Oreochromis niloticus: one gene and its partners. The protein of the gene in region 2 purifies or fractionates together with the protein of the main gene of each other region. This does not show direct contact. Links are inferred from orthologs where the notes say so. Each region holds a gene or a part of one and is shown on either strand. Other genes may lie near its edges.

Evidence for each region.
Region 1: the proteins of bag2 (region 2) and irf2bp2b purify together in Homo sapiens (affinity purification with mass spectrometry; 3 studies listed by BioGRID and IntAct, with this or other methods). This does not show direct contact. The link is inferred for Oreochromis niloticus from reciprocal best matches to the Homo sapiens genes BAG2 and IRF2BP2.
Region 3: the proteins of bag2 (region 2) and edrf1 purify together in Homo sapiens (affinity purification with mass spectrometry; 3 studies listed by BioGRID and IntAct, with this or other methods). This does not show direct contact. The link is inferred for Oreochromis niloticus from reciprocal best matches to the Homo sapiens genes BAG2 and EDRF1.
Region 4: the proteins of bag2 (region 2) and cep170aa purify together in Homo sapiens (affinity purification with mass spectrometry; 3 studies listed by BioGRID and IntAct, with this or other methods). This does not show direct contact. The link is inferred for Oreochromis niloticus from reciprocal best matches to the Homo sapiens genes BAG2 and CEP170.

What each region holds. Positions count from the first base shown.
Region 1 is NC_031971.2:4,315,722-4,323,557, reverse strand, and holds the start of irf2bp2b (interferon regulatory factor 2-binding protein 2-B), read left to right. Parts: upstream 1-4,830; 5' UTR 4,831-5,095; coding exon 5,096-5,861; intron 5,862-6,180; coding exon 6,181-6,923; 3' UTR 6,924-7,836. UniProt on the Homo sapiens protein: Acts as a transcriptional corepressor in a IRF2-dependent manner; this repression is not mediated by histone deacetylase activities. Represses the NFAT1-dependent transactivation of NFAT-responsive promoters.
Region 2 is NC_031978.2:19,992,794-20,000,360, reverse strand, and holds bag2 (BAG family molecular chaperone regulator 2), read right to left. Parts: upstream 3,005-7,567; 5' UTR 2,639-3,004; coding exon 2,517-2,638; intron 2,211-2,516; coding exon 2,101-2,210; intron 838-2,100; coding exon 443-837; 3' UTR 50-442; downstream 1-49. Other genes in the region: E3 SUMO-protein ligase ZNF451, read right to left, coding at 4,736-4,815, 5,353-5,418, 6,597-6,665, 6,735-7,567. UniProt on the Homo sapiens protein: Co-chaperone for HSP70 and HSC70 chaperone proteins. Acts as a nucleotide-exchange factor (NEF) promoting the release of ADP from the HSP70 and HSC70 proteins thereby triggering client/substrate protein release.
Region 3 is NC_031978.2:13,922,882-13,930,861, forward strand, and holds the start of edrf1 (erythroid differentiation-related factor 1), read left to right. Parts: upstream 1-4,976; 5' UTR 4,977-5,082; intron 5,083-5,107; coding exon of another isoform or gene 5,108-5,171; intron 5,172-5,250; coding exon of another isoform or gene 5,251-5,380; exon of another isoform or gene 5,381-5,532; intron 5,533-6,127; exon of another isoform or gene 6,128-6,217; intron 6,218-6,496; 5' UTR 6,497-6,504; coding exon 6,505-6,612; intron 6,613-7,513; coding exon 7,514-7,722; intron 7,723-7,980. Other genes in the region: tex36 (testis-expressed protein 36), read right to left, coding at 881-1,201, 1,302-1,376, 1,502-1,642, 1,730-1,780; si:ch1073-143l10.2 (autophagy-related protein 16-1), read right to left, coding at 2,653-2,726, 3,642-3,760, 3,881-4,132, 4,503-4,576, 4,887-4,971, 5,108-5,171, 5,251-5,380. UniProt on the Homo sapiens protein: Transcription factor involved in erythroid differentiation. Involved in transcriptional activation of the globin gene.
Region 4 is NC_031978.2:11,267,197-11,275,049, reverse strand, and holds the start of cep170aa (centrosomal protein of 170 kDa), read left to right. Parts: upstream 1-4,845; 5' UTR 4,846-5,020; intron 5,021-7,853. Other genes in the region: rtkn2 (rhotekin-2), read right to left, coding at 1,221-1,322, 1,626-1,760.

The DNA of each region.
Region 1 (7,836 bases), on a different chromosome or scaffold from region 2:
AAGAAGGATCACATGCAGAGGTTACCCTTGCCTTTGATCTGTAGAGAGTCAAAGGTCACTGGGAAAAGGGCTTTCGAGTAAACTGAGACACAATTAGCTATGATGTAATCCTGATTAGGACACTCAAGCGCTATACATCAAATAGATAAAAACAAAAAACAGGACTTCACTAACTCCCACCAAACCCTCATAGAGCAGCTGTCTTCCTTTAATACTCTATCTGCCTCATTTGAGTTTCTGGAATAGCCTACATCTGGGGATATCAAACCATGTGAAAAACTACATGACACAATAAATAAATATTTAAATATATACAAATATACATATATACAACATTCTATGAACAGCACACATACTTTAATCACTTACACATATAACAACACACCATGACAAAACTCTATTAACCATGTCACAGAGGCTCTTAAAGAGATTACTGAGCTACTGCAGCCATCTACCACAACCAGCTGGGAATAAAGGGAGGAACACGGGACAAAAGGCAAACTGGGCATTTGACTGGTCAGTTAACTGGAGTTTTCCACTTCACGTCAGTTCATCTGTAATTAGCTCAGACCCAGAAAAAGTGAATGCACTTCTAGATTATTTATAATTTTTTGCATAGTTTGAACTTGCACAATAAACAACAATAAACTACACATTTAAAATAACAGTTGAGTGGTAAGGAGGTTATACTATGAGACAGAGCAGGAATTTATATATTTACATCAGTGTTAAAAAACAAAACAAAGACAATCAAAATGAAGTTAGTTAAAAACAGTAAAAGTAAGACTGACGTTGTGTAGGCGAGAAGTGCAGATTGCATTAATGAAAATCTTTTGCCTGACAGGTGTGTAAACCTGTCACAGAATGAAGTTATTCTACAGCTTTATAGAGAATGGTAGGAAAGGCTTTCTAAAGTGTTCTTTATGGCAGCGAGGTTGAATCACTCTGCTGCCTCAGAGGTATGGAGTGGAGTGGGTGTGATGGGCTGTCCCTGATGGAGAGGGTAGGTTCAGTGACCTCCTGCCCCTCACTGACTCAAACATCTCCAAATTCTGACCAATGATGCTTCCAGCCTGCAGATTAGTTTGTTCATCCTGCTGGCATCTCTGGCACTGATGCTGCCCCCCAGCAGACAGCAGCAAACTAGATGGTACTCACTACCACAGAAGAAGATCTCCAACATCTTGCTGCACACATTAAAGCATATGAGCTTCATTAGAAAGTACAGTAATTCTTGATATGTTTAAAAAATGTTCTCTCAAGTTTGGGTAATGAGAGTAGGAATAATCATTCCTACATGCCTGAGTCTACTGTCTACCATGTATAGTCCAGTTTGGAAATCCTTCCCAGATGCCTTAACGCCCACTCACGTCTTGGGCCATTTGTTCTCAGTAAGTCACATGACATGGGTGGGCAAGGTCTCACAGTGGGTTCACCTGAAACCTTGGCTGATTGTGACCCACACCCGTTTTCACACCTTGGCTCGTGTGATTAGCCAGAGGATCAATAGGGGGTCCACGACCCTCTTTGGGACATTCCCAATAGGGCTTACGAGGTAGGGACTCTACACCAGTTGCTCTTAGAACTAAAGAAGCTTCCTGGACGAGAGGTGAAACATCTTCAAGAAAGTTAAAGAAGTCCAGAGACTAAACCTTAATCTGACCTCCCCCTAACCTTGACAAATGTAACTACATGTTGTGTTGTCATAGTCCTCTCATCCATTTCTGGCCTCTCAGCAGGTTTTTAATTAACTGGAAGGAAACAGAGAGATAAACTCCACCAACAGTTAGTGTTTTGGCAGAAAACTGCAGTGCAACAAAGAAACACCACATACAAGTAGAAATGCTTCCAATGGTGTCGGCCACTTGCGTAGGCTCTATGGATTCAACACTGAAGTTAAAGTCTCAAGTGAGACCTCGGAGTGTTAATGAGCACATTCATTTATTTCTTTGTATAGGTTTCCCATCATTCAGATCATGGCAGTCTTAAGCACTTGAGTTGAAAGCAACTGGACTTCTACTTGTTTTTTAGGTTCTTAAGGATGTTTCCCCTACTCCTCCAAAATCTTTGATGAAGTAGCCTTTTGGTTGAGAGGTTACACTTCATGTAACCTTACTGGATTTCAGATCTGCCATTGTCTTCCTCTCCCACTGAAGATTTGACTAAATGCAGCTCATGTTTGACTGTCGTGCAGAATGCAAAGAGTTCTCTGCTCCTACATATTTGCCTACAGCGGCCAGTGTTACACTGGCAAAACAGGATACATTGTTCTGCCTTTTCCCTCTTACTTTCTTTCCCTCATTGCCTCCATCACTGACTGAGTAAGTGAGACACGTCATGATGTCTGTAAGCCTGACTGGAGAGATGATGATTGTAGGGTCTCTACCTTACAATGTAGAGGCGACTATAGTTGTGATTTGCCACTAGATACATAAACTGAATTGAGTGAGTCTTGGCCAACAATTCTTGCTTTTGGGACCAAGGTCACCTCTTTAATCATAATTTAATGCACAGAACTTCTAGGCTCAGCCAAGTAGGGGCTGACTCTGGTGGCTTATCTCTGCTAAATCTCTGCATTTTGCAGATGATATGGTTCCTTTGGACTCCTCAGGCTGTGATCTTCAGCTCATACTGGGATAGTTTGCAGTCAAATAGAGCTAAAATGGAAAAAGAATAGGCTGGTGGATGACCAGTCAATCGTTTATGTTCCTATGTTGTATCAGTCTGTGTTTCTACCCTGAACTATGGCCATGAGCTGTGGATGGTGTCCAGGACATGCTGGAGGGATTACATCTCTTGGCTGATTTGTGGTGTCCACCCAGTAGATCTGGAGATGATGACCAGGAAGAGTGAAATCTGGGTGTCACTGTAGAAAATAGATGGATAAATGGACATCTATATGATGTCTCACAGGTGTTTTCATCACCAGTTTTCTACACTGTACTTAATTCTAATCAATTATGCTGATTATCCTGTGCCTTTGGGCTTTACCTGCATTTTATAAACTTGAAAATAGATGCTAATTTTAATGCAACTGGATATATTATCACTTTAAGTTTAATGCCTTTCTATTACTACAGTTTTTTAAAATACTTTCCATTTCTATCATATTTTACTTCAAAAAGTAGGTTTTCGTTGAATTACTGCCAGTTGAGTCATTGCTTTCTATTGCTATAACTTGTGTGTGAGGAGAAACTAGAGAGCAGTGGAAGTGATTTCATACCAGTGAGAGGAAAATGATCAGCTCAGCTCAGCAGAAGACTGAATAGAGGGGAGGGAGGTTTACAGTTTGCCTGGTAACAGCAGCTTAATTCTGGGATTGGCTTCTACAGTGGTGATGTCAGATGTGCCTGGCAACGAGACTGGAATGCAACAGAGGGATTTAACACCCACTCAGCGTCACACCGAACTCCTAAACAGAACTGCTTTAACACTGGTTGCCTTGACACTGCAGAGTTGATTATTTAAATCGGAAGATTATTTTTTCACTGTCTACATCTTTGGTATTTAGAAAAACACTTGGAGCCCTGCAAACAAAGATGAGAGCTGAGAGAAAAGAGGTCTCACTCTGCCTCTAATTCCACGCATCCCTTTTGAAACCCAGTATAATATGTCGTGAAGCAGGTCGGCGCCGGTGTCTTTAAAAGCTGCATTTGGATCCACATACAGCCTTGTTTATTATGTTATTGTCTTTTTACATGTGTACACTCATTACACTGAGTTTAAATTACACACACACAGAGGACTGTATTTAACTAGTTGCTGCCATTTTAATATTGTTGTTTATATTTTTCAAGGTTCTACTGATGTATCTCTAATGTTTTGCTATTTTACCACTAATACAGAAAGAGTTAAATTTGCATATTAGTACAACAGAACATGAAGATGGCTTCATCTTTCAGCTCTGAACAGTCCTGCTTTGTAAACACTCAGTGAGGCCTGAGAGGTGTGTTACAAAGGAAGTTCAATACAGCCGGGGTTTCTTTGTGTTAACTGGTTTAACAAAATCTCTCAAGTCACATGGCTCAACGAACACCTTTCAGAAAAACATCCTTTGAATGCAGCTCACTCCATCGAAGACATTATCAGATGATGATAAAGTAGTGATTAAAGTCTTTAAAGAACATTAAAAATGAACAGCAAAAAGAATCAGTGTTGCAATTAAGATAAGAAATTGGTCTGTTTTCCTTCTCTCACCGCAACCAGTCGCAGCAGATGGCCCCGCCCCTCCCTGAGCCTGGTTCTGTTGGAGGTTTCTTCCTGTTAAAAGGGAGTTTTTCCTTCCCACTGTCGCCAAAGTGCTTGTTCATAGGGGGTCATATGATTGTTGGGTTTTCCTCTGTATGTATTATTGTAGGGTCTACCTTACAATATAAAGCGCCTTCAGGCGACTGTTACTGTGATAAACAATATTGAATTGAATTGAAATTAATGACAGAGAAAATCTTTATTCTAGAGATGTAGCGCACAGAGCGATAAAATAAAGCTTTTTCCACTAATTTCACTTGATCATTTTGTGTCTCAGTGCACTCTCAGTGCTGCAGTTTGCTTCTAAGATGATGGCAGCACATTAGCGCTGTGAAACTTTAAATTGCATCCATTTAAACATAAAAGCTTACAGTCCCACAGCCTGGAGATGTGGAAATTACTTCAGTTTGACACAGATCAAAGTGAAATGATTTCTCTAGATTGAATAGCTGTTCAATTTAGACAAATCGCTGCCGTGTTTTATTACGGTCCCAATAAAACACAGAGTGGTCCCTCTTCGCGGGCATACACATCTTCAAGAGTAAACGCTCCGGACAAAGATAGAAAAATGGTGAGCATGCGCGTCGTCGAAGAATCCAGTAAATAGAACCCCGGAGCACGAGCCGAGTGTCGTTGCTGACGTCACGGCCGTACGTTGAGAGCTGGAGCTGAGTTGTAAGCGCGAGCTCAGACGGAGGCGCGCCGAGGGAACAGCTACAGCTATGGTGCTCTGTTCTTCTTCGTGAGGACGAAATCAGCCACTTTTATTCTCGTTGACGTATTTTTCCGTCTTCTCTGCGACGTAAACAAGCTGTCGGACATTTTGAAATCGCTTCGGGGATACAATATGTCCTCCACGGCGGTCGCTGCCTCCAGAAGGCAGTCCTGTTATTTATGCGACTTGCCCCGCATGCCGTGGGCGATGATCTGGGATTTTACCGAACCCGTCTGCCGTGGATGTGTGAACTACGAAGGTGCCGACCGGATTGAATTCGTTATCGAGACTGCCAGGCAGCTAAAGAGAGCACACGGCTTTCAGGACGGCCGCTCTCCGGGCCCGGGGAAACCCCAGCACGCCGGGAAAGAGATCAATCACTCGGTTGGAGACCCGGGCTCCCGTCCCCCTCAACCTCTGGATCGTTATCCGCTGTCAGACAGGCCGCCGCGGCTGGGCCCGGAGTACCAGGCGGGCAGGCAGTCGAACGGCCTCCCGATGCCCAACGGATTTCCCAAACCCGACGAGCCCCCTGAGCTAAACCGCCAAAGCCCCAACCCCCGCAGGACTAGCACGGTTCCTCCCAGCTTGGTGCCTTTGGTAAACGGCGGGATACCTGCCATACATCCGCTCAGCGGCCGCCCGACACAGATCGGTCTGACCGGCGCTCTGATCGCGCCTGTCCCCGGGGAGCACGGCAAGCGCCCGGAGGAGCTGAAAGACAAGCACCGGGCGGACAGCATGTCGGACATGTCGGACAGCCACAAGGACTGGATAAACAAAGGCAAAACTGTCAGGGACCTGATGCTGCACACGTTCGACGGCAGGGTAAAGAAGGACCACACCGCCATGCAGCGGGTCATGGCGTACGAAATGAGTGGCACTTCCTCAAAAACAGGTAGGCTGTTTGTTTTGTGTCTGCACTAGAATGTGGTGAGCTGGCACGCGCCATGAAAACGGGAACTAAACAGCAGGGAACTAATGTGTCAGCACTTTGCACACACGGTGTGTCGTGCATTTACGCCATCGTGAAGGGTCCGCCCAGCCACGCTGCTGGCACGCACCCGTTCACCTCTGTGTGAGAGAGCAGTACGGGAGCAGGTGTGTGTGTGGTTGTTGGGGGGGGGGTAGAAATGAGCTGCCTCGTATTCTGCACAGGCCGGGATGTTTGTGTGTACCTAGCGTGGCGTTAACCCTGCTGCTTTTCCTTTGCACAGACAGGGGGAAGCACCCTCGGCCTGGGAAGAGGAAGGCCTCCCCTGAGCCAGATGGTGAGAGCAGTGCCCCCAAGATGAATGGCAGTGAGGGCCAGCCATGGCTCCCCTCACCCTCTGAAGTCCTGAAGATGCCCCCAGCTGCCCTACCAGGCTTCTCTGCGGCGCCTCCATCAACCATCTCCCCCCACTCCCGCACCACACCGCCTGAGGCTGCCACAGCGCAGAATGGCCAGTCCCCCATGACTGCACTCATCCTCGCCACTGACAACGCAGGCAGCACCGGCTCACCTAAGGACGGCAGCCAGGTACATTCCACCGTGGCGGGGGCACGACGGAACAGCGGGAGCCCCCTCTCACCCTCACAGAGGAGGCTGGCCCAGAGAGAGGGGCCCGTGAGCGCCAACCCCTCCGCTCCGCATGGTCCCGGCAGTATGGAGCCACCGCCGCAGAGCATTCCGGATTCCTCTGTGCCACCGAGCAGCATGCCGCTGTGTTGCACTCTGTGCCATGAGCGGCTAGAGGACACTCATTTTGTCCAGTGCCCTTCAGTGCCCTCTCACAAGTTCTGTTTCCCCTGCTCCCGGGAGAGCATCAAGCAGCAGGGGGCCACCGGCGAGGTGTACTGTCCCAGTGGTGAAAGGTGCCCGCTGGTTGGCTCCAATGTACCCTGGGCCTTCATGCAGGGGGAAATAACCACCATATTGGCCGGAGATATAAAGGTAAAAAAGGAGCGGGACCCTTAAAAAGTTCTCAGACTGCTTCTCGTGAACTTTTTTCCCTCTTGTAACCCAAGTATGGCAACAACAGCAGGACATAAAGTAACAGACGCAGCTCACCCAGCAAACCTCAGAGGAGCTGGCAGACATGTACATAGTGAACGCAGGGGAGTGTATACTTCATAAATGTGGCAGTAAAATTTGACTTTTTTCTTTAATACATTGTTTCTTACTGTGTTTCCAGTAAGACTTTTCCTTTTTCCCACCACAGCTGTTTCTTCTCAGTCTGTCGTTGTACTTTAGGTCTGCAGACAGTCCCTGTCGAGCATAGAATGTGACTAATTTGAGCACTTGGCAAAATCCTTTAATAAATGAAACAAAAAATGCTTCTAGCTGTACATGTATGCACTTGTTTAAGAAAAAAACTTGCCAAATACAGTTTCAGACCTTGTAATAATACCCCCAGTGTCTCTGTGGTTTGCTTATTTTCCATAATCCTGGAGTTGGTCGGAGAGTCATGGCCTGATTGTGAATCAGTCATGATGCAATCCCTCCCAGCAGGAACAAACTGGCTTCCAGGGAACAGTGGGTGGAAGGGGAAAAGTCAGGGAGCGAGGGAGATGGAAGAGGGGGGATGAAGGCCGCAGTAGAAGTGCGTTGCATAAATGTACTGTAAATCGCACGTGGGCGAGCCGAGGCTGCTCGGCGCTGAGGCCTCGTGCCCTGTGAGTGCGGGGGGAGATAAGGAGGGCCTAAAAATAGTCACTGTGGCTTCAAAGTGACGCCTGCTCAGGCGTTTGTTGATGTCAAAACAACTGCCTCATATGTCCTGTTTGGGCACTTTGTTTGGATCTAGAGGTTTTCTCTTTGCTTCTCCCTCATCGACCCAAATCAGCCTGACATCTCGTCAGATGCTGGCAGCAGATCAGAGCTGTTGCTG
Region 2 (7,567 bases):
CTTGACTGCTGAGGAGTACTGTATATTTAAAGAAGTCTCTGCCCGACACTCATAAGACAACAGGTTTATTTAGTTTTTTGACACGTGATCTGAAATAAAACTCATATGTGCAAATACAAACTAAAATCCATATATCTTGTGTTGATTTCACATAAAGAGGTAGTGCGTGCACTTACAAAATCAACTACCTAATTTTAAAAGTGAGGCAATGAAACAAAAAGAGACTTAATTCATTGCTGTTCAGCATCTTTTACTGCACTAGGTGCATATGTGAACACACACGTACATTGTATAAACATTAAGTAACCAATATTAAGTAGATCAATGTAAAAATGACAATGATTTGGTAAAACTGGATATTTGTTGTTCACTTTTCTTGCTACAAGTAGCAGCCTTCTGAAAGAGAACATTCAAGGCACATTTAATGCTTTGGTGATGAGTCTTATTGACTACCGTTTGCTTTGGTGTTCTCCAGTTTTTGATGATCCATAATCTTGATGTTCTTTTCAGCATTTTCAACATTTCTCAATAGAGTCTCCAGCCTCCGCTTTATGTTCTTCTGGTCCTCCAGAGCGCAACCGATCACAATGGCCTGAAACTTCTGGTTGATGGGAACGGCCGGTGCTTCAGTCACACATGCGGCGTGCAGGGCCAGCAGCTTCTGCCTGCTCCCCTCCATGTCGTCCAGCAACTTTTTCACTATTTCATCTATGATGGATGTGGCTTTTTGTAGCGCCTCCTCCTGCTGCGGGTTTCTGATTGTCCCAACAGAGATTTCCACAGACAGCGTCCGGCCCATTAAACGGTTTGCAGTTAAAGTTAACTCCTCTCTCTCTCCTAAGAGACACAACATATGGGGAAAAAAAATAAATAAATACTTTCTCTTTAAGTGAAAAGATTACCACAGGTAACTAGGTTTTGTAAGGGGTAGCATGTTGGCTAGATTTATCTAAATTCAAATCCTTGCCCTTGTCTTTATTATCTGAAGTTTCCATGTTCATGACTGTGCTCAATCTACCACAAGCCAGGGACACAGTTATTTTATGCAGTGTAAAACAACAGGGTGGGCTTGCACATCTACACTTCAGATCTGCAAGGCCATCTTGTTGCAAAACCTTTCTAAAAAATTCTCTGAGAGACAAAGCAGCTGGTGTAAAAACAATCTACAGCAGATAAATAGTATCAGAAAATCAAGTCTGCTGAATTTGAATTTTCTGCCTCAAACTGTCATCAGTATGTATGGAGGAGGTTGCGAAAGAGATACAGCAGTAAGTATCAGCGGTGTTAGGGATCTTGTCAAAATTGATGAATTATGAACACAGAAAACTACCGTCAGATTTTGATCCACCATGCAGTACCATCTGGAAAGCATCTGATTGGCTTCATTTTTCAGCATGACAATGATCCCAAACACATTGCTAATGGATTAAAAGCTAGACAGAGGAAACACATAGTGGAACACTATCTGTAATGGACTGGACTCCCCAGAGCCCAAAGCACAACATTACTGAGCAGGGTGGGATCGTCTTGGCAGAGAACAGAACAAAAGGCAGTCGCCCAAATTCTGTTTTGCCACATAAATTTTGTATTTCCATTTATTTTTGCATGTTTTACTACATCACTGCACTTATTTCCACTTTACTGTCAATGTAGAAAGAAATAAGGAGTGGCTCAAGACTTTTGCCTAATACTGTACACTGTAATGATTTCTTTGCAAGTGGACGCTTTCTTTGAAAAAAAAAAAAAATGAAATATGGGTAATCAGATACAGACTGCAGGTGGTTTTCAATGAGCATGTTCAGCCTAGTTTAGTGCCTTCATTAAAATGGAGGTTGATGTATAAATGACATCCAGGAGCTGCAAACAACTACCTGGGTGGAACTCTTTAAATCCTCAGACATTCACGAACCCACCTCCACCCAACAGAAAAGTTCACTTTCAAAGCGTGTCCTCATTGGATCACAATGTTGCAGTGGCATCAGAGCAGAAATACAGGAATTCAAAACAACAAAATGATACTAGGAGGCTATATCTTTATAGTGACATCAACCAGCGCGTGACTTTTGCGTTCAAGTTGTGATAGTCAGCAAACCGCCTCACCAGCACAGATGTTACGCATTTCTTGACTGTTCTGTAGAGATTGAATCATTTCCAGGATGCACTCCCTTTCCTGCTCCATGGCCGATGCCGCTTCGCGTAAAGCCTCCACCCTGTTGGAGACAACAAAGCATGACAATAACCATCCATTGAAAAGCATCCTTAAACTGCGAGAGTAATGATTATGAGGCTGTGAGCTACGAACTAAAAGCAATCCACCTATAAAACATATGCGTAAAATGTGATCATTAACTGTTCTCGGAAAACCGCTAAGAAATTAAAGCTACTTTTATGGCACATTTTAAGCGCTATAATAACTTATTATAGAAGATGTGAGTAGTCATATATATCCCACAAACGACAATGCTTGAATAGGTGGCTCAGCATAAAGCACATGCTAAGGCCCGTTACTTAACTACCTCATTTCGAGCTGGTCCAAACTTTCCAGCAGCCGCCCCGAGCGATCTGCCATGGATAGCGTCCTGCTGAACTTGCTACAGGTAGCCTCGTTCATCTTCGCCTGTATTTTTGCCTGAGCCATGATGATGAATACCCGTCACAAGGCTGATCCGTTCCGGAGTAAAAACAAATCCCGTGTGCGGTCAACTCCGAGCTGTCCAGCTGACTGTAGCTCCACCGGCTGCTGCTGCAGCGCCCCTGGGAGAACATTTCCAAACATGGGCTGCAACTTCCTTCACTCTCTCCTCATAGAAGCTTCCCGAGGAGCCCAGAACTGTGCTCTCAAAACTAGGGTCCGAGGACCCCCTGAAGGACCACGGAAACGGCCGTCCGGTCCACAGAAATACTAGCTAGGATTTAAAATAGGATAACAGTCACTATTTTTTGTCCAACAAAATTAGTTAATAGACTTTGCTGAATCCACCACCAACCTTTTAACTCTGACAGTGATTTCTATCAATGACTCAAGTACTATAAAATATAAAAAATGTATACTATAGCATAAATTCCTTACATTAAATGAGGAGTTTTTCCTCACCAACAAAGGCAGCTTCACCTCTGGCACTGCAGTTAGCCTGAGATGCAATTCTACAACAGGAGTGCTAACCTGTATGTGTCATCAAATATACTAATATCTCAAAGCTTTTGCTCTTTAGCTGACTTGCCCAAAATCAGATATTTGGCTTGTAACAGCCAAGGGGATGAAAAGTTTCATGGATATATTGCAGTTGATTACAACACGATGATTCTAAATGCATATTTTCAGTGTTAATTCATAAAAAGGAATTGGCTACCCAGATCAGTGTATGCAGGGATGAGCAGTTAATTTTATCCAAGAGCCCACATTATTCATGTGGGCTCTTGGGAACATTAATTGCTGGGTATACAAGTTTTACTCGAGTGTACTCTTAAGTGTGTGCGCCAAATTAACACATTTCTGGAGCACAAAAATTATGTGAATTTATATTGCAGACTTCTGGTATCACAAAAGCTTTTTCCTTAAGAAAAATAATCTAGCATTCTTGCGTAGAAAGATCAGGATTCACATGACACCATGCGAAGAGAGTCTGTGACATACAATACACTGGAAAACAGAGCGCAACTGGAGACACAGCACTGTGGTCACATGTTCAGCTCAGGCATCTTGCAGTGTGGTGGATGCCATCTATAGCACACGTGTCGAAACACTCTGGCTCCTCACAAGTGTCAAGCTTACAAAATTGCAAATCTGCACGGTTCAGTTTGGTGTCCACTTACTGCAAATAATGACAAACTCAGAAAAAGTAAAAAAAAACCCAAACAGGACAAACATTTAATTCTTTATTATATTCTGAACACGTTACCTTGTACAAAACATTCTAGTATAACGTTCGATGAACAGCATGTTACAAAAGCACTACCGACTTTCTCAGAACTCCAGGAGGCTTCTTTTGAGAGCTTCTTCCAACTCTGTGAAAACAAATTACACGAGAAAACCTTCATTCATACCAGCATGGCCATATGGAAAACACTACAAACTGCATCATTTCAACAACACAGAACATTTTATGTTGACCATAATGTCATAACTTTAACATTTCTATTCTTTCATATCTCCAAATCTATTTATAGTGATCCCCAAAATGTTTCCTTCGTCTTTGAGCCAGCAGAGCCTTTAGGTCATCCACACTCCCCGCCCCCCTCTTCATGACGTCTCACAGGTGCCACAAAGATCGACTCTCACTCCGTGCCGACATCATTCTAACATCTTCTCCTGGGAAAAATATTCTTTCAGTAGGCAGCTGCTTTGTTTTAGATTTCATGTTTTGATGAAATCTAAAATCTGGACACTGATTGGAGTTTCAGCATGAACGCTAAATTTGGACTTGTCTGAAAATAACACCTTCAATAGCTGCAGACTTTCTGTGCGTGTTATTTGCAAATTTAAGCCTAGCTGTCCCAGTCTGTGAGCTGGATAGTTTCCACTCCCCTCTACCCACACTTCGAATAGTCTTTGAACTGAGCTGTGTCTGTAATCCTGCTCAAAGCACTCCTCTGTGGTGTTTCTAAGCATTTTCTTGTAATCTGATGGTCTTTCTGAGTGCCTTTTGTTCCGAGGACTGACTTCTCTCTTCATCTTTCTGAAAATATTTCATAACCATGGAGCATTGAAGATTGAGATGGTCGGATGAACGTTGTGTCATCCTATGCTTGAGCTCACGTCACCGTCTTTTACTGTTTGTCCCCAGTAGGAAGGTAATTTATGAATTTCTGAAGAGCCTGTTTACACAGATGTAATTCATCACATTACTTTCTGATTTAAGCAGCAGGTTCATGCTTTCTCAAATGTAAGCCTGACATCATTTTAGTACACAAAACTACAGACAAGTTTCTTTTTCATCAATTTGATCAAACACATTCTTTGTCTCGACATTTGTTAAATGTGTTCAAATTCCTCCAAGCAGTGAGTCACGGTTTGATTCCTGGCCAGCCAGACTGTGAGTGCACATCACACTGCATCCCATATTTCCTGTCTGTTCCTATCTAATAAAAGAACAAAAAAAAACTCTCCCAAAAGGCTGGGAATAAACCTCACTAAACCAACTGTTCAAATATTTTTTTAGGCCTGCATGTTATCCGTCGACATTTTCATTCCTTAATGTGCAGGGCAATGTTAACAATCACCGATTGCATAACGTACTGGATGTTTATCTCAATACAATAAATTCAGCAAAACAGACAATATGTTGTATTGTACTGACTTACAAACTGTTCAAAAGAGAAAGAGACTATATCCTCAGCCCTGCATACACATACCTGCTGACTCTTGCGCTTCTTCTGCACTCAAAGACAGCGCGCGTTTCATTTCGTCATCCGATTCAACTGTAACAGAATACAGAGTCGTTTATCCAAGCAGGACATTCATAGGATTAAATATGCAAATAATTATTAGCAGTTGAGCTAAAGGAAGAGTTCTCTTTAAACAGACAGCCGTTAGGGTCTCATGACGAAAAGAGATAAAAAAAACGAAGTAGCATTTATTTAGTATCTAGCCTTTTCTTTCTAGTTACAGGTGACAACAAAATTATTAGTCCCCTATGAAAATTAACATTTTGTCCATTTCAAATTTGTCCCAGTGCTTTTTCAATAGAGCTAAGGATTTTCAACATAGGATTACTAAACACACTAGTTTTCTTTAGGAAGCATAAATTATTTGTATTTGCACACAATAACAGAATTGTTTAAGAAAAAAAACAAAAATTACCAGGGTCAATAATATTAGCTCCCTGAGAAAACTGGCCTTTTTATTTAGCTATAGCAAAAACCACCACTGTCCAACGATGTGCTTTATTTTTGTAATGCTCAAAGCTTGTAAAATCATTAAAACTGTGGGTTTATCTTCCAATTTAAAGAAAGCATAAGAACCTCAAAAAGAGTTTGAGTTATCACTTGAAAAACACCTTTGTCAAAGTGAAAGAAATCCTGAAGGAAAAAAAGATATGAGAAGATTTTTAAAGAAAACCAGGAAAACTGGGTCTGAGCAGTTACTTTGTCTTCCAACATGACGACATAAACAATAAGTCACTCCTGGTGGAGAACTACCTCCAGAAGACCAAAGTCAACATTACTGGCTGGACTGCTCAAAGAGCTGACTTGATGTGGGTTAAACAGAAGACCAAAGTCTATGCCAGGAGACCATCAAATCTGAAAGCATTTGAGAGACTCAGCAAAGAGGAATGGACTGGGATTGCTCAGGCGATGTGTGTGAGACTAGTTGAAAACTACAAACAACTATTGCAGGCTGTTATCCAGCAAAAAGGATACACCACCTATTAGCATCAAGAGGACTCATCACTTGTCTATGGTAGTTTGTATAAATAATTTGGTTCCTGTGTGCAAAATAAAAATAATGTAACCAATAAAAATCTAGGATTTTTGAAAAAGCTGTGATTAAAATTCCTTCCTCTGTTTAACAACACTTTAAAAAAAAAATTCATTGGGGGACTAATAATTCTGGCCTCATCTGTATATCAGTGATATATGTATAGTTTACTGCCTACCTTCCTGCACTTCACTCTTGTCATTGGTGTGATCAGTGTTGAAAACTGTCAGCGTTTCGTCGTCAATCTCTGCAAACATGAATACAAATTAACATTCAAACACAAGACATTAAATGTGAATCAGTTTAACCGATTTACCGTTGCTCTCTGGTTTATTCTCCACAGCATTAGGTATTCTTGGAGTGGTGGGTTCTGCTTTCGAGCCTTTCCTGCAGGTCCTGGAACTCATGCAGGGATCCAGTGTACAATGTTGCGAGTGGTAGTGTTTATGGAAACTCGGTACATCCATAAAACTCTCTTGGCAGTCTTTGCATCTGATGTCAAAGCTCCTGTCCAGGTTCAAGGCTGTGTGTTTTGTGTGGACATGAGTCTTGATCTGTGCATAGGATGGAACAGATACATCGCAAGGCACACAGATGTACTGGCATTTTTCTTCCGCAGCCAGATTCCTCATGCATTGTGTGTAAGTGGCTTTCATGTCTGCTTTACTTTTTTCTGAACCCATGCACGGGCATGTAAACTGACTGGTACTCTCAGCGGCAGTGGCGGCATCTGGTTGAACAACTTCAACGTCATCCATGCAGTAGTAGTCCTTACTGTGAAGATTCTTGTAGTGCTCAAAAAACTCCTCCTCAGATCCGAACTCCATGCTGTCACAGAGGCCGCAGAAATAGGAAGTTTTTATGACCCCATCATGCTCATTCATACAGTGTCTCCGTACGGTGGACTCTTTGAAGAACTTCTGAGGACAGTGTCCGCAGACGAATCTCTGAAAGCTGTGACTACTAACATCGCTACAGTGTTTGCGGACGGCAACCTCCGAGTCAAAGACATCCTCGCACATCCTGCACATCCAAGACTGCTCTACTTTTGATGAAGACACCTCTGTGCTCAGCTGGACTTTGGCCACAGACAAGGAGTGAAATGTGATGTCACTGCTAGTGGATGGCTTGACATCAACGATTATGGGA
Region 3 (7,980 bases), about 6.1 Mb from region 2:
TTCATCCCCTGGGGTGAAACAAGCCCATGCATTATGACTCAAATCAAGCTTAATTTATTTCGCATGCTCTAATTGAATATCTCCATGTTGATATGTATTGAATAAAAATAGCTGGATCATTTTTCTAATTATTCCCGCCCCTCCCACATTTTGTCTCACGGAACATGCATATTACACAGGGTTTTGTGGCTATTACATTTTTCATACAACTTGGTACTTGAACAACTCACTGGCTAGGCAGGCCAAATGGCTCATGTAGACCTGCTGCCCTCTGCTGGCAAAACTGTGAACCTCCAACAGTCCTCATGTGGACTAATAGTGGCACTCAAATCAGGCCTGTGCACACTGATGTTCTGATGCATCCATAGCTACGTTAACTCAGCTTATGCTAACTTGAGTTCAAATAACATTGTGCTACATTGCTATATTGCGTTTGTGAAATGTTTGTAGCAACTTTAGCATATTTAATGGAGTCGACATTATCTGATAGCGCATTCTTCTGCCTGAGGCTGACTGAACTCTCAACAGTTGAGATGCAAAAAGTACCTGCCGTTGATTCTGATGATTTTATCACCAGCCTTACACTGTTAGAAATACAGAGATAAAATCACTTAAGTACTAGCAAAAGTATTGAAGTAGTTTTCGCAGGTTCTAAACTTTGAAAGTAATCACTTTGCATAGTTTCTATGCAATAAATGTTATTTAAACTATGTTAATGCTTTTTTCAATCTTGGAACATTTGATATTGAGGATGCTGTGGGATAAATCTTGGTAAAGTTCACAATTTTTAATGGATTACAGCTCATATGCAAGTGAAGGAAGCTCTGTGCATGCTATGGCCCCCTAATGATGCCATCTGGGCATTAGATGTAAGAATATCTTAAGGCTTGGATGGTGTTGAGCAGTTGGTAGCTGCCAGCACTTGCAGGGTGTCAGACTGGTCAGAATCGTCTCGTCCGAACCACATAAACTGCTCCCCCGCCTGTGCCAAAGCTGCCTCTGCAGACTTCTGCCTGTGGTTGTGAGGGAAGCGCCGGTTTCTGGATGCAGAGTCAACAACCTCTTTCACTATGAAGTCACTCTGGTAGGCTGTGACGTTCCCTCGAGTCTCTTTGGTGCCATTGTCAGTTCCACCATGGCACAGGCAGAAACGGGAGATGTGCTGTCTGCGATCATCAAGACACCTTCTCCTTCCCACACTCTGAAGTACATCAACATAGAATAGAAACGGTCTCCTTTAAAGGTATAATGTGGTGAATCTTGTGTTCAGCAAAGCCTTGAACCTTTCCCTACATACTTACATGAGAGAATACAATGACGTCGTCTTTCAAGGCATGCTTGTTGTCATGGTCTGAGAAGGGATACTCTCTGGATTTCTGCAAGTTAACCCATAAAACACATACTGGGACAGCAACTAAATACACAACTGATAGCAAGTCCAAGAAAAACTATCAAGGCCACTGGCAGTGACTAAAAGGCCATGCCTTATCTACATACACACCTGCTGACTTTTCCATTTAGGATAGCGTTGAAAGTTTAAAGCCTGAGGCAATGATGACTTCACTTGAGTCAGCATGATCCCAGTGCTTGTACAGTTCTCTTGAGTCTTTGTCTCATTTTCTGATAAACCTGAATGAGCAAACTGGGAACAAAATGAAGGAAAACTTAATTACACATCTAGGTTTAGAATGCTATGATTTAATTATCCAATGAAATGAAGACTTCTTACCCATTTGCAATCAGTGCTCACTGAAAAATGCCGCTTTCCGCCTTTTACCATTTTCCCACTACAGCTTGAGGTGTTTAGACCACAATCAGTAAAACCAAACAAGCACTCCACACACTGTGCAACTTAACTACTAATGCCAACACTGGTGACCATGGAAACAGGCAGCAAACAAACTGCAATCAGATCCTAGAGATCGGAACTGAATTCTGATGATTAAAACAAAACAAAAAAACAACCCCAAACATTTTGAAATATTTCAGATTTGTGATTAAACAGAATGAGAAATAGCCCACAATGAAATTCTTAGTATTTAATATTTAATCAATTAAGGAATACAACATGCAATGTTTAAAATGATAGTCTTTGTTCAGGAGAGGGGATTAAAAAAAAAAAAAAAAAGGCATAAAAGTCTCTTTATTTTCTTTTACAGGTGATAAAGAAGACAGTAACACATAATTACATACAAGAGTGTACAGTAAACTAACACTGAGCTTGATTTTTCAAAATTATTAAATGTTTAATTTGTTGAACAGTAATTAAAATGTTAAAAAAAAAAACCCTCAAACAACTGAAAACCAGATGAAGTTGTTTCAAAGGTTAATTTATTAAAAGAAAAAGAATCATAGAACCAGAAGGGTTTGAAGCGTTGATCATGAAGACGACGTCCACATGTGATCAGCTAAACTTCAGGGTGACTTGTGATGTAAAATTAGGCACTAACTATACGTCACAAACAAATTTGCATAGTATAGTGGATCTTTAAATATATTTTTAGATAAATAATAAAAAATAAAATAGATCCATGTGAGCAATTTGTCCTAACGAAAGAAAAACAAACTACATTTTCATTATTTATGTCATCATTTCATCTATAAGCACTGGGGAGAAGAAAAAAAAGTTCTCCCTGGGATCTGAAGGGAATATTAGGCCTGTGGTGGACCCGAGACATGACACTGGTCTGGGAGTCCACTGTGCATATCTGTTGGAATATTGATCCCTGAGGACAAGATAGGCAGACACAAAACAATTACCATTGATTCTTTTGACCAAACATTGAATTAAAGGTCTTGAGCTGTAGATTAAAGTGGCTGGAAACTGTAAAAAAAAACATGACTTTGATGTATTCACTATTATTGCAACATTCATACATTTTAGAATTCATTTTAAAATCTTGGTACTGACTTTTAAAGCTTTGAATTGTGATGCCCCTGCCTACATTTCTGATCTGTTAGAACTTCACGCTCCCTCTCGCAGCCTGAGATCATCTAATCAAAGGCTGTTGGTAGTCCCACGAACACGTTTTAAGACCAGAGGAGAGAGATCTTTTAGAGCGGTGGCCTCCAGGTTGTGGAATGCTCTCCCTCCATCATTACGTTGCCTTGATTGTATTTATTCTTTTAAAAAGCAGCTTAAGACTCATTTATTTAGACTGGCTTTTAATTAGATTTGTGCTGAATGTTTGATTGTGCTATTTTTTTACGTATATCTGTATATTTTTATGTATATCTGTGTTGAATTGAATTGAAAAAAAATTCTTGCTTAAAAATAGCATTATATCAAAGTGGTTGCACATGAATTTCCTATTAAATTCTTAATTACTATTAGGTTTTATTAGTAGTTGGGTCCAAGAGTTCCTATTCAGTACTTCATGTACAGTAACTCTTATGAAGTTGCCACTGCTATCTAGTTAGATGGTTAAAAACAAACAGACAAACCAAAGAATATAATTTTGCACTATTCTCTTATTTTTCCATTAGCCTTTTGTGTATCATATTACCAGCTCACCACTAAGACACACCTTTCTTTAACCTACGACATAAAGCTTCTTAATTTAAAAAGCAAAAAGGGCGGCCTAAAAGTCAGCCATTTGTTTGCATCTAATGTGTGTTAATATCTATATGCAGATTCTTACTCTGAATGGCTGATGTAGACTGTGCTGCATCACTGGAAGAGTTGGTCAGTGTGGGCTCACGCTCTTTCCCCACACCTTTCTGGAGGCGCTTCTTCAGATGTTTGGTCAAATGTTGCCACCTGGTAAAAGGGAGCAGTCCCAGATAACTTTTCAGCTTTAAAGTGTGATTATGCTATCATATAAAGTTAACACGTTTAAATTTTTGAGCTTTGCAAGTCACACAGAACTCATTATCTCACCTTGCCTGAGTGACATTGTAATTATTCAGCCTGTCCGCTTCCTCTTTTTTTTCCTCCATCCATCGCTGCAATAGCCGTTCTTTCTCTCCCAGTGCATCTGCAAGAGCTTCCTTTAGGCATTGCCGATCCACACGCAGGGCTGCTAACTCTTTGGATTGACACTCTATGGTGAACTCATATTCTGAAAGGGCTTCCTTCAGGGTGTTACTCCCTTTAGCCAGAGTAAGTGCCTCTTGATGGAACTGAGACACACTGTAACAGCAAAGTATTATAATGGTGACGAACTGATCCCTTATATTCTGAATACAAAATCCCAACAATCGACCTAATCGACCTCCCAACCTAAGCTGGAAAATTATACTTCTTTATTTCAGTGGTTCAGTATTCCTATGAATATAAAATAAGTTTATTATATGACCAAATTAACTATTTACTAGGATTAATCGGCAACATATTGAGCAATTATGGGGAAACTTAATTTGAAAATTACCTTTACTAGATCTGAAATATACCATGAATTAACACTTACCTCAATCTGGTCCATCATGTGTTGCTTTTACATTGTCTGTGCGTTATTTTAATCTTGGAATCATAGTCGTACTGACCAAGGTATTTGAATTACCGTGATTGCCAGTACTGTAGTTCAGCTTCTTTGAGATGGAGGACGGTGGTTAGGTCGGAGACAGTTTGAGATAACTGGGTAGACAAAACAAAGGGTGGAGTGACCCAGTTCAAAAGCAGACAACAGCACACACCCATTAAAGATGATTATTAAAGTATTTTCTCCACTCCTCTGAACCAGTTGCAATAATGAATGTTTATTTATTTATTCATTTTTTAAAATAAAGTTCAAATGCTTTGAAAGTTGTTTCAGATTGTCAGATGTGGTGTTCGTGCATATCAATGCAAATATGCTGCTCTGCATTTTACGTAGACGTCTTCCCTGTAGTGGAGGTTTTGAGCCTCTGGGGCGTTTAATCATTGGATTACTCCTCATTTAACCCACCTTATCTACCAGGTGCTCACTCTCTCTCAGCTGGAGTCGAAGCAGTGTGGCGTTTCCCCCAACCTCAACTCCATGTCTTTCTAAACTGAAAAAAAAACCAAAAAAAAAACAAGCGTGCAGATTTAAAATACTTTACAAAAAAAAAAAAAAAAATCAAGCAGAGGACAAACCGATCAGCACAAGCGCCAGATGTAGGGTAAGTTAAATTCTGCATTTCTAACCTCTGAGACTGAACATCAGCCAAAATCTCTTCGCGAAGTTCAAAGCGTTCCTCCAGCTGAGACACTAAAAGAAAACAGACAAACGTCCTTAGGTTCTGATAGAGAGGACAACATCAAGAGAGGCAGAGAAAAGTTAATCTTACAGCTTGTGAAAACGCCAACAAACGGGAGCTTTTCTCTGTGGTCCCTATGCTGCAGCCCTTGGCGCACGTGATTCTTCCAACTTTCCATTATAATGGACACTTTAAGGAAAAACCTCTCACGTTTGCGCATCCAGAATAGACTATACTAAAGCAGCGGGAATACAGCGTCTTCAGCCCTCACATGAAGTCTGTGCCATCCACGCAGGAATTAAATGCACTCAGCAAAGTTTCACAGCTCCTCCCTGTTCACTGATCAGCGTGACATTCCTGGCTAGACATTCTTACAAGGATCCATATTGTATTATATTATATTATATGATATTATATTATATTATATTATGGACAGGAGAAACATTAGTACTCGAATATAATTACTTAAATGCTTAACTTGTCCCTCCACTGCTAATATTTTCATGACTTATCATCTCATAATTTATACAAAAATATCCCTGCACCTAAATGTTTTTGTTTGTGATACTTTTTTTTTTTTTTTTAAAAGTATCACAACTTTTTACGGGTTTTTAACAGCTGAACAGAATTGCACTGCAATTGTTTGCATACCTCACACTGAATCAAATTGTTTAAAAATAGAAAAATCACACCACATGCAAAGCTCACGTTAAATTAAAAACAGTGGTGTAAACAGTCAATTTCAGAATAAAAGGTATCAGAAGAACGTGCTCCACTTTTCCAGAAAGAACTTATGAAAATACTTCCGGTTCATCTATTTTTCACAATAAATCGTTTCAGATAAAATATTTTTCCTTGACTAAAACAAATATCCAAAGTTATAGCCTTCAAATGTAAATGTAAATATTTTAATATTATTGAAAAGTTTTATTCTTCGAAACTACTGATAAAATTAGTTTTGTAACTCTTTTTGCCTTGAAACAGGAAGTTGTTGTTGGCTTATTGCTAGCACTTGCGACTGCTCTGTCAATAGACTGGCTGCAGGCTACAGGCTTGTGTAAGTAGTCACGGAGCTAAGAGCTAAACATTAGTCGTTTACAAAGCAATGAAAACTGTTCGCCTTCGTGTCGTTTAGGTTTAATTAGTCTAGTGAAACTTTCATTTTACAGCTTTACGTGTCAGCGTTTCTTTATCGAGGAGCTAGCTTGTCTAGCTAACTAACTTTGCCAACATGTTGACTTACCTCATTCGTTGACTGATGTATAGACGGTCCACGGCTTGTCGAAGCCATGGATATGTTATTTGTTTATTAAATCGGAGTTGTTTGGTGAATTAGATCTTCGTATGTCCAGTATGAGCGCATCAACTGGAGACGGAGAGCCTTGCATCCCCTTGGATAATGCAAAGGAAGAAGTCAGTGGTCCTACCTGCACTGGAGACAACAGTAAACATGTAAGTAACTAGTCTGCAAGGATAATCTACCATCTAGTATGTTGTCATGTGTAACACTCATTAATTAGTATTTGAAGTGCTAATGTTGAGTTAGGCCACAGTGGATTTATAGTGCCATCTGTAAACATGCTATAGCTTTAGTGAGAGTGGGAAGCAGGTGAAGGAGAGCCTGATGAGGTGGTGGAATGCTCTGGAGAGAAGAATGAAGGTCAAGAGAAGCAAGCCATAATACGTGTGAGTTAATAAGAGCGAGACAGGTGACAGGGGAGCGAGACAGTGTAGATGAAAGGAGTAGAATTAGTGAAGGTAAAGGATTTCATATGCCTGGGGTCATCATCATCAAGTAACGGACAGTACACAAGAGCATTGAAGAAGCGAGTGCATACAGGGTGGAGAGGGTGGAGAGGAGTTCCAGGTGTGATTAGTGACAAAAGGACATCAAAAAGGCCTACAAACCTTCTGTGATATATGGTTTGGAGACTGCGGCACTGACAAAAAGGGCATTTGGGTATTTGCAGGAGAGGGATAGTGGATTCACTGGACAAAAGATGTTAAATATGGAGCTGGAGGGGAAAAAGGAAGACAACTGATGAGATCTGTGGATGCAGTGAAGAAGGAAATGCAGAGAGTTGGTTTGACAGAGCATGATGGTACAGATGGGTTGAAAGGAGGCAGATGATCAACTGTGGTGATCCCAAAAGGGTGCAGCTGACAGAAGAACATCAGTGTGCATAGTATACTCATGATAATCAACTGCCAGACATATCCTTATTTAAAAAGATAAGGCTTGGAGCCAAGATCTTTATCATACATTTCAGTAAAAACGAAATTGTTACTCTGTCAGTGCTGTCCATTCATTCTCATAACTTCACACTAATAAGCTTGATATTGTTATTTGTAGGAATCAGCAATATGCTCAGGCAGCAGTGAAATCAAAAGCCGTGCTGTGGTCAAGTACTGTGCAGCCCCACCACCTACCAGCTATGCCCTTCTGCAGGAAAAGACCGACTTGAAGCTACCTCCTGCCAACTGGCTGAGAGAAAACCCCCAGCTGGGCACCGCTGGGACCACTATATTAGGATCTAGCAGCAAGAGCAAGCCCTTTTCCAGGTATAACTTAGAAAAGGGGGCACGTATTCCGTTTTTATGGGAAAGATTGAATTTGAATTGATGTCAAGCTCATGATTGAGGTACATAGGCACCACTTTTATCATTACACCAAGAATAATATCTTTTGTTTAAATGTAATTTGCGACCCATGAAGACTGATACTCTATCCACAATAAACAAGGTGTGGAATAGAGTATTGCATAGTTGCAAAACTATGGTTCAAACTCACAGTGGAGGACTTTTCACTACATAATTCAA
Region 4 (7,853 bases), about 8.7 Mb from region 2:
TTCTTTGGAACAAGCAGCCTGCTGACCTGAGGACAATTGCAACTATGTCTACATTCAAAAACAAAACTTAAAACCTTTATTCTCATAGGCTTACATTTAACAGTGTGCGCACATCTGTTTGTGTGTATGATAACTTGTATTTTGTTTCTTTGAAAAGTTTTATTTTATTGTTTTTATTACCTTAAGACACAGCAGACCTACATTTTTTTCATGTTTTTACCTTAAATGGTATTTTTAAAGAAAAGCAGCTGTTAAACAAAATCCACGGTCACTCTGGCACCAACAGAACTAACATTTTCTGGGTTTAATACAAAAGATCTTAAACAGCATGGCTGTTGGGAAATCTTCTTGCCCAAGGGTGTCCAAACTCACTTCACCTCATGGGACACACACACATCTGATCACAAGTGGGCCATACCAGTCATTATTTCATGGTATTTTCTAATTAATTTTTACTTATTGATTTATTTATTTTTTTGTTATTATTTAATGCTATGTCCAGATGAACAGAATCAACCTTTTGGGTGTTATTCTTTTAGCTTACTTTCAGTTAGCTTTATTTTTCCAGTTTAGTGTTGATTGTTTATTTAGTTTTAGTCTTTTTATTTATTTATTGTTTTAATGAGGGCATATGTCAGATGAAAAATCTAGGGAAAATTTGCTCACGTATTACAATAAAAACTGATTCAGACCTCAAATAATTAATCAACATTTAGAAGTACTTTTAACTTTTCATACATTTACATTCCTTTGTAGGAATGCTGGAATCTCAATATTAAGCATTTTTAGTGAAAAACTGACTTCCCTACAATTTTTGGACCCTTTGGTGGACTTGCAATCATTTGACACCCCCGCTCTAGCTCCACTAGTAACTACATCACAGTTAAGATGATACACTGGTGATGTTTCAAATTACTTGTTAAGCTTGAAATCACAAACTCAAGACCAACCTTTCGGTGACGTAATGATGCATGCATGAAGGGGTTAGATGGCAATGCCAGCTGAATGAGATTAATAAGATGTCTCGGGTAGCAGTTTTAATGGCAAAGATGGAGCATGGAAATGTACGAATGGCATTTCGAAAAGCACAAAACAAGTGAAAACTGGCAGGCATGCAGCAGACATATTCTAACTAAATGAAGTTTGATGATGTCTGTTATAATCACATCTAATATAACACAAACGTCATCATTCTCCATATCACAATCAACAATATGCACCTGTAGCTTCTTAGAAATCTGTCGTATGTACAACAAATTCATATCCTCTACTATCTGGGGAGTGTCTTTCAGAAGACTAGGGCACGGCTGCATGCTCTTTGCCTGCAGGGAGATTAGTTGGAGCAGTATTAGAAGGAAGCAAACATACAATGATGATGCAGCGTACACGGATATGGTTTCAGGGAAGTGAATATTGACAAAAGGGGCACTGCCCCGAACTAGCTTTGCCCTGGAGGGTTGAAATCCAGCTTGAGAAGGGCGTTAGCAAGTCAAGTCGCAGTACATGAAACTATGTTATTAAAGCCATGTGAATTAAAAAGATCAGCATTCGCATGTTTGACGTGCACTTTGCACCCACTCCATTGGGTAAATCATACAAAACAATCACTGTCGTACCGCCCATACCTCTGTTTGTAGGAATAAAGTACTCTGTCGTATTTTCTTTCGTTTAATCTCCATATCCACCGCGGAGCCGGCCAAAAACAATGACCTGGAGCCCCCATTTTTCTTGGAAGTTTGAACATCCCGCGGATCGTCCATGTTGTATGTCCATTCGCTAACAGCAGCTGCACCAGCAGCGTATTCCTGCTCCTGCTTCCAACGGCCGGGGGCGGTTCGATTTCTATTATCTTACCTCCCGAAAAAGAAATGTCCCGTCGTGTCAACATAAAGTAAACCCATTACAAAAGCTTAAAAGTGTATTGTTCTCTCAGCACATTTAATATCATATCAAATAAATAAAAATTAGGGTATAAAATGTAACCAAGCTACGACTTAATAAAATGTTGTAGTCACCATGTCACGCTAGATCAAACCTTAAAATTAAAACAAAATTAAACTCTAACTTACAAATGTCCTATGGAATCGAAATCATTAAATAACAAGAATTAAATAAAGAAAAAGAATACTTTAACAATAATACATAAAAGGGTACAGTTCAAATATAAACATGAAAAAACGTCCCGCTTTTCCCGGCGGCACTGCCATACATAAAAACGAGTGCCTTTACGTCAACAGGGAGGGGGCGTCATTGCGTCAGTGTGTCAGACAAAACAGGGCTGAACCGTTTTCGAGTTTGAATTTTCAGACAGTATAAAATCATAGACAGTATCAGATAACATATATTTTATTACATATGTTATTATTGTATTTTATATTTAATTCATCTGAAAATGTATTTTAAATATTATAATATAATACATACAAACATGCAATTAACTAACAGGCTGTAATGCTAATTTAAAAGTATAATTCTCACGTTTATGCAATGAGCATTTCCATTTTGAGCTCCCATTTTTAAAGCAAAACAAATATGAATCTTTTATATGTTACTGCCATTTGATCAACCTCTGCAATTTCATATTTTTTAAAAGCGGTGGATGTTTTTCTTGTAGTGCCACATCCCTAATTAGTTTGATAATCTCGAGTAGTAATTGGTTCCTGAATATCATGCAGCAGATACAGCCTTCATTATCAGCATGACCTCTGCACAGTCCAGGTGGTGGTACTGTAACAAAAGACCCCGGAACGTAACCAGTGTGAGTCCAGGAAACCCGCCCACCCGGTTCTGGCTGACATCGCTTCTGGTTGAGTTGGAAGCATCCACGGTTGCAGTTGTGGACGCAGGCGCTGCTGAGGATGAACTCCGTCAAGCTGGGGAGAGAAATTCCACTAACACAGGAAATTACATCAGCTTTTAAAAATAAAACGCAGGATTTTGAATTTTAGACGAGGTTGACATGCAGTATAATCCTCTGAGTCACTCAGTACACAGTGATGTCAGCTACTTTACCATCTGTAGAGTACTGTTAGAGTGACTGCCCTACAATAATCCATATCTGTCCATATTTAATACACTGTAACGTTTTATTTCACACTCCTTGAATCAGGAACTAGTCTACAATTGCACCAGCAGCAGACCTATCTATAAGTGGAAAAAGAGTTTTGTAAACATACAGGCATGTGCCTGAAATCCATTCATTCCTAACAGGATGCAAGAGCTTGGAATTTTATTGGGGAAGTGCTATAGTGGGTTTATGGCTTTAAAATGACTTGTCATGTCTTTCTTACTTATATTTTTAAGTAATTTAATCTATGATATCAGTCTTTATCTCTATAATGCTTTTAGTAGCATTGGGTCTAGGGTACAGTAATTCCATAAATATGGTATTACTGTAGATACAAGTTTCTTTTTTTCTTTTTTTTAACTTTCCCCATATAATAAATTATTCAAAATACTAAGGGTTATTACATGCAAATTTTGTCAAAGAATGGTTTCACATATCCCAAAATATAAAAGGATCCATGGGGACACAATGCACACAATCTTGGCTTTATAAGTTAGAACATGATATTGAACTTTTTAGTTGAAACTCATAACAGAAAGACTTTGGTTGAACCTCTGGTTTAACTCAGGTGATCATGAGATTATAGTTGTGCGCATTGTTCTGAATATTACGTTTATTTCAGTATCAAATACACAAATAAATAAATAAGTAATTTAAAAGCTTTCTGGGGAGACAGCGTTTAAACTGTGAACGTCACACACCTTGCAGTTGGGGGGCAACCTTCTACTCATTTTTTCATATGTGTTGTGTCAAGCTGCTTTGAGAGCTCAATGAGGAAGACCTGTCAAGCACAGATAATACCATTTTTGAATTCAGGGTGCTGAGCTGTGAAAAAGGTGTAGGTATTCAGGGTGGCAATGTGAAGTTGTAACACAGCACCATGGGCCATCTCTATGTTTTACACTTGCAGGTGTAGGTGCCAACCATCTTGTACATAGTATCTACACCTCCTTTGGTCTTGTTATAGAATTTGATTAATTAGTGTTTTTTTCCATTTCTGGTATTTTCATCCCCCATTTTGTTGTGATACATCGAGTACAACAGCCATTTCTTTCTTGATGACATAGCTGACTATGGTATCACAAACGTATCACATGTATCACAAACCCAGAAGATCTTCAGGCCATACTTGACGGGCTTGTTTGGCAGTGACACAATCACTCGGGATGAATTGCCGTCTGAATGTTGAATAAATGCTGTCTTTTAATCCTAATTTCTCTAATAAGAAGGATGTTTCATGAACTTTCTCATTTACCATTTTTTAATTACCATACATTCTGTACATTCTTAGAACTGTTTCAACCTATTCTTTTTGCAAACTAAAAACATCAAAATCACATCACATCACATCACAAAAAACAAAACAGAAAAATTGCTATCTACTATGGAAGCTCGTTTCCACCACTAAAAAACCCCAACATTATTTGCCATCCATATATCAAAATTTCAGGTTTTTATCTAAAAAAAAGTCAGAGAAAATAACTCCAAAATGACATAAATCAAAAATAACGTAAAATTTCCAGTTAATTTTGAGAAATAAAATATCCTGAAATGAAGACTTATGAATATCAATTTAAACCCCCCCCCCCCAAAAAACCTAACTCAACTTCCTTTTAGCGGAAGCAAATTTCCATACTGTGACAGCGGTATGATTAAAACTTAAAACACCACTGAAATTATGATCGACGCCTCAACTCGGAAATCTGAGTATCCTGTTGTCTCTTTGACTTTTATTTTGAAACTTCTGACCGGAGGCAGTGATTGGTCTATTTGTCACTTTGACGCCTCTTTCAGGATGTTGGTCCGCTCGCCGCTGTTTTGCAGGGAGTCAGTAGCTTATTGCTGAGCAACGGAGGGAGAGAAGGCCCCCGCATAGAGCCAGACTGAACTGCAGCAACGACAGGGCTGGGCTCCACACGCAGTCACAGAGCAACAAACATCTTTAAGGAAAGGGTAAGTGTGGAGTGTACTTGATTTTTTTTCTTAGCGAACAGTATACAATTGACAGCCCGTAGTATGGTTTTAGCTAGGTGGTTGACCGTTACTCACGTGAAGTTTGCTGCAGACAAAAAAATATAAAGAGTCGCTTTTGCTTTCCTTCTGCACATCCACTGATGTCAGTTTCCTCTTTCAGTGAGCTCATAGAAAATTCCCCCAAATTTTCAAACCATTAAATCTGTATTAAATCTGAGTAAAATTTAGGAAACAAAAAACACTCCGGCTCTTGTAACGACTAAACAGATTGGTCTGACTCCCTCTTGGCTAACGGGATGGCTACTATTGTCAGCAGCGGCATGACAAGCATACCCTGCTCCACCTTTGTAAGCCGCACAGACTATAGCCACTTTGCTGCCCTTGTAAAAACACCGGCCGCATACTGCTTCACTCCAGATCAATACTATTGTTTACTACTGACCTGATTTTGTCCAGTAGTTGCATCCTTTTGTAGCCAGACAGAGGCTAATCGAGACAAGATGCACATCAATGAAGGTCGGTCACACTGAACGCTTTGTTTATCTTAGTGGAAACATGCTACCCCCGGGGTCTTCTTTTAGTCTGTATTGTCTAAGAGGTAGATTTTATGGGGAGGTTTTACTCTAAGTAAGGCAACTGCCGAGTGTTTTCCGATAACGGACCCCCCTCCTCTTCTTCTGTGTGGAGGCTTTGTTTTCGTGGGGCAGATGTAGCTGGCCTGCATGCATCCGCTCTCTTTGTGTTGAGTTTGATTTTTTTTTAGCTGTCATCATCACATTAGCTGTAAAACTTTTGAAAATAGCAGCAAATGCTTTAGTTTAAATGCCATATGGTAATTTGATAACTCTCCCACAGGCTGTTCATAAGCAATTGGTACTTCATGCTAGAAATCAATGCAAAAATATTGTAATTACGGTTTAATTACTGTTACCAATTTAGCACAAATGCTAGAGGAAGATGCATATCAATCGAAGCCTCACAGCTGTTCAAAACATTTAAAATTAATATTTATATTCACAGCATTAGAAACTGTTATATTTTATTTATTTAGCTATATTATGCTCTTAAATTTCATCCTGTAGACTCAAAGGTGCTGGTGAAAGTCACTTGCAGCTCTGGTCTGAGTTTATAACCCGATTAGATGTTCTTTGAGAGCTACGTGTTTCACATCAGTGTGTCTTGCTAGTCTCCTCCCTCAGCTGTAAGAATTCAAATTTCTTGGGTTCGAGCCAAAAGAATGTGCAGATAATACCATCCAATCCAGTTTTGCTCCTTTTCCCTTTTCTCCCCTTTTTCCGCCTTCTTCCTGTGTTCTCCCCACAAATGTGGCTGCCAGCAGGGTTGTTGGCTCCACTGGCGGTTGCATTTTTAAAAACTGTGTCAGTGTCACAGGACGTTTGCTGCACTCTCGGAGAGGAAGCAGCAAACTGACTGAAGCTAAACTACAGCCAAGCCTGACTACAGACGTGTCTATTACACTTAAAACATAGCTTTTTTGAGTTTTATTTTTCTTTAGAAAAAAAATCTAGAAGCTTCTTGCAGTAATTCGACTATCAGTGCTGTTTGATCAACTCACATTTAATGTGCAGTGATGTAAATTACCATACTCATTGAAATCCTGCTTTTTCACCCTGATATTCTTTCTCAGCATCTTAACTCAATCTGCTGTTCAAAGAGTAATTTGTATGCATATAGTATATCCTTCAGTAATATTTTCAATTCTAGTTTCAAGTTGGGGACATTTTTGGAGACTCTTACTCAGCCTGCCCACAGCCATTGTGTATAGTAGGAAGTTTAGGAAGTGAGTTCATTTTACTTCAGTGGCCCGGGAGTGTTATGTGTGACAGAAAACAAGCCAGTCTTGAACTTAGTATCTGATTGTATTCAGTTGTATTTAAGATGTTGTTAAAAGTTTTGTAATTGGGAGCCTGTAGCTAAAAATAGAAGTGAATCTCAGTTTTGTAATCTGCCAGAGTAGAAACGTTAAAAGGGTTATGAGAGTCACATAGCCTTGCCTGGTAACGCTCATGCTGGCGTGTGGTGTCAGAGGGAAAAACAAGAGAGGTGAATAGCGAAGTCTGTGGTTAGAAATTGGGAGAGACAGCACAGTATACCAGACAAAATTCCCCAAAACAAGCATGGAGCATTTTATATATACAATCATCAGCCGCTCCCTTGTTATGGAACATAAAGGGTGTGTCTGATTTAAAAAAAAAAAAAAAAAAAAAAAAAAATGCCATTTAACCTCTCACAGAAAGAGAAATTGCACATCTGTTTTGGGGTGTAACATACTCCCCTCTGAGTTTCCTTCATTTGATACTTCTTTCCACTAGATATCAATCTTATATTTGAACATGTTCTATTCTCATCTTTCCCTCTGCCAACTCCTGATTGTCCTGTTATGCTAACGTTTATGTTTTTTCCCTTCTAAGTGCAAGAGTGAGAGAGTTCACTATTTTTATCTGCTACTGAAGCTATTGCTACAGCCAGGATAAATGTTGGCACCATAATCAAAGTGGCAGGGTTGGCCAAATACTAATGTTCCTGTTAAAGGGCCATTGGTTAGTCATTATCTGCTCAGCAGGGGCTATGCAGGGCCATTAGAGCAGTCATCAGACCAAAGGTATATTTGAAATGACTGCAATATGTTTTCTATGTAAATGGAGTTTGTATGTTGTGCTCTCTTGATGCTAAAATAGGTATAACTATCTACATGAATAATTAGTTAGTTAAAAGTTTCAGGTTTTTGTAATTTAATATTCATTTCTGGAAGTTTAATAGGTAATTCATGTTATTTTTTTCATTTACAATT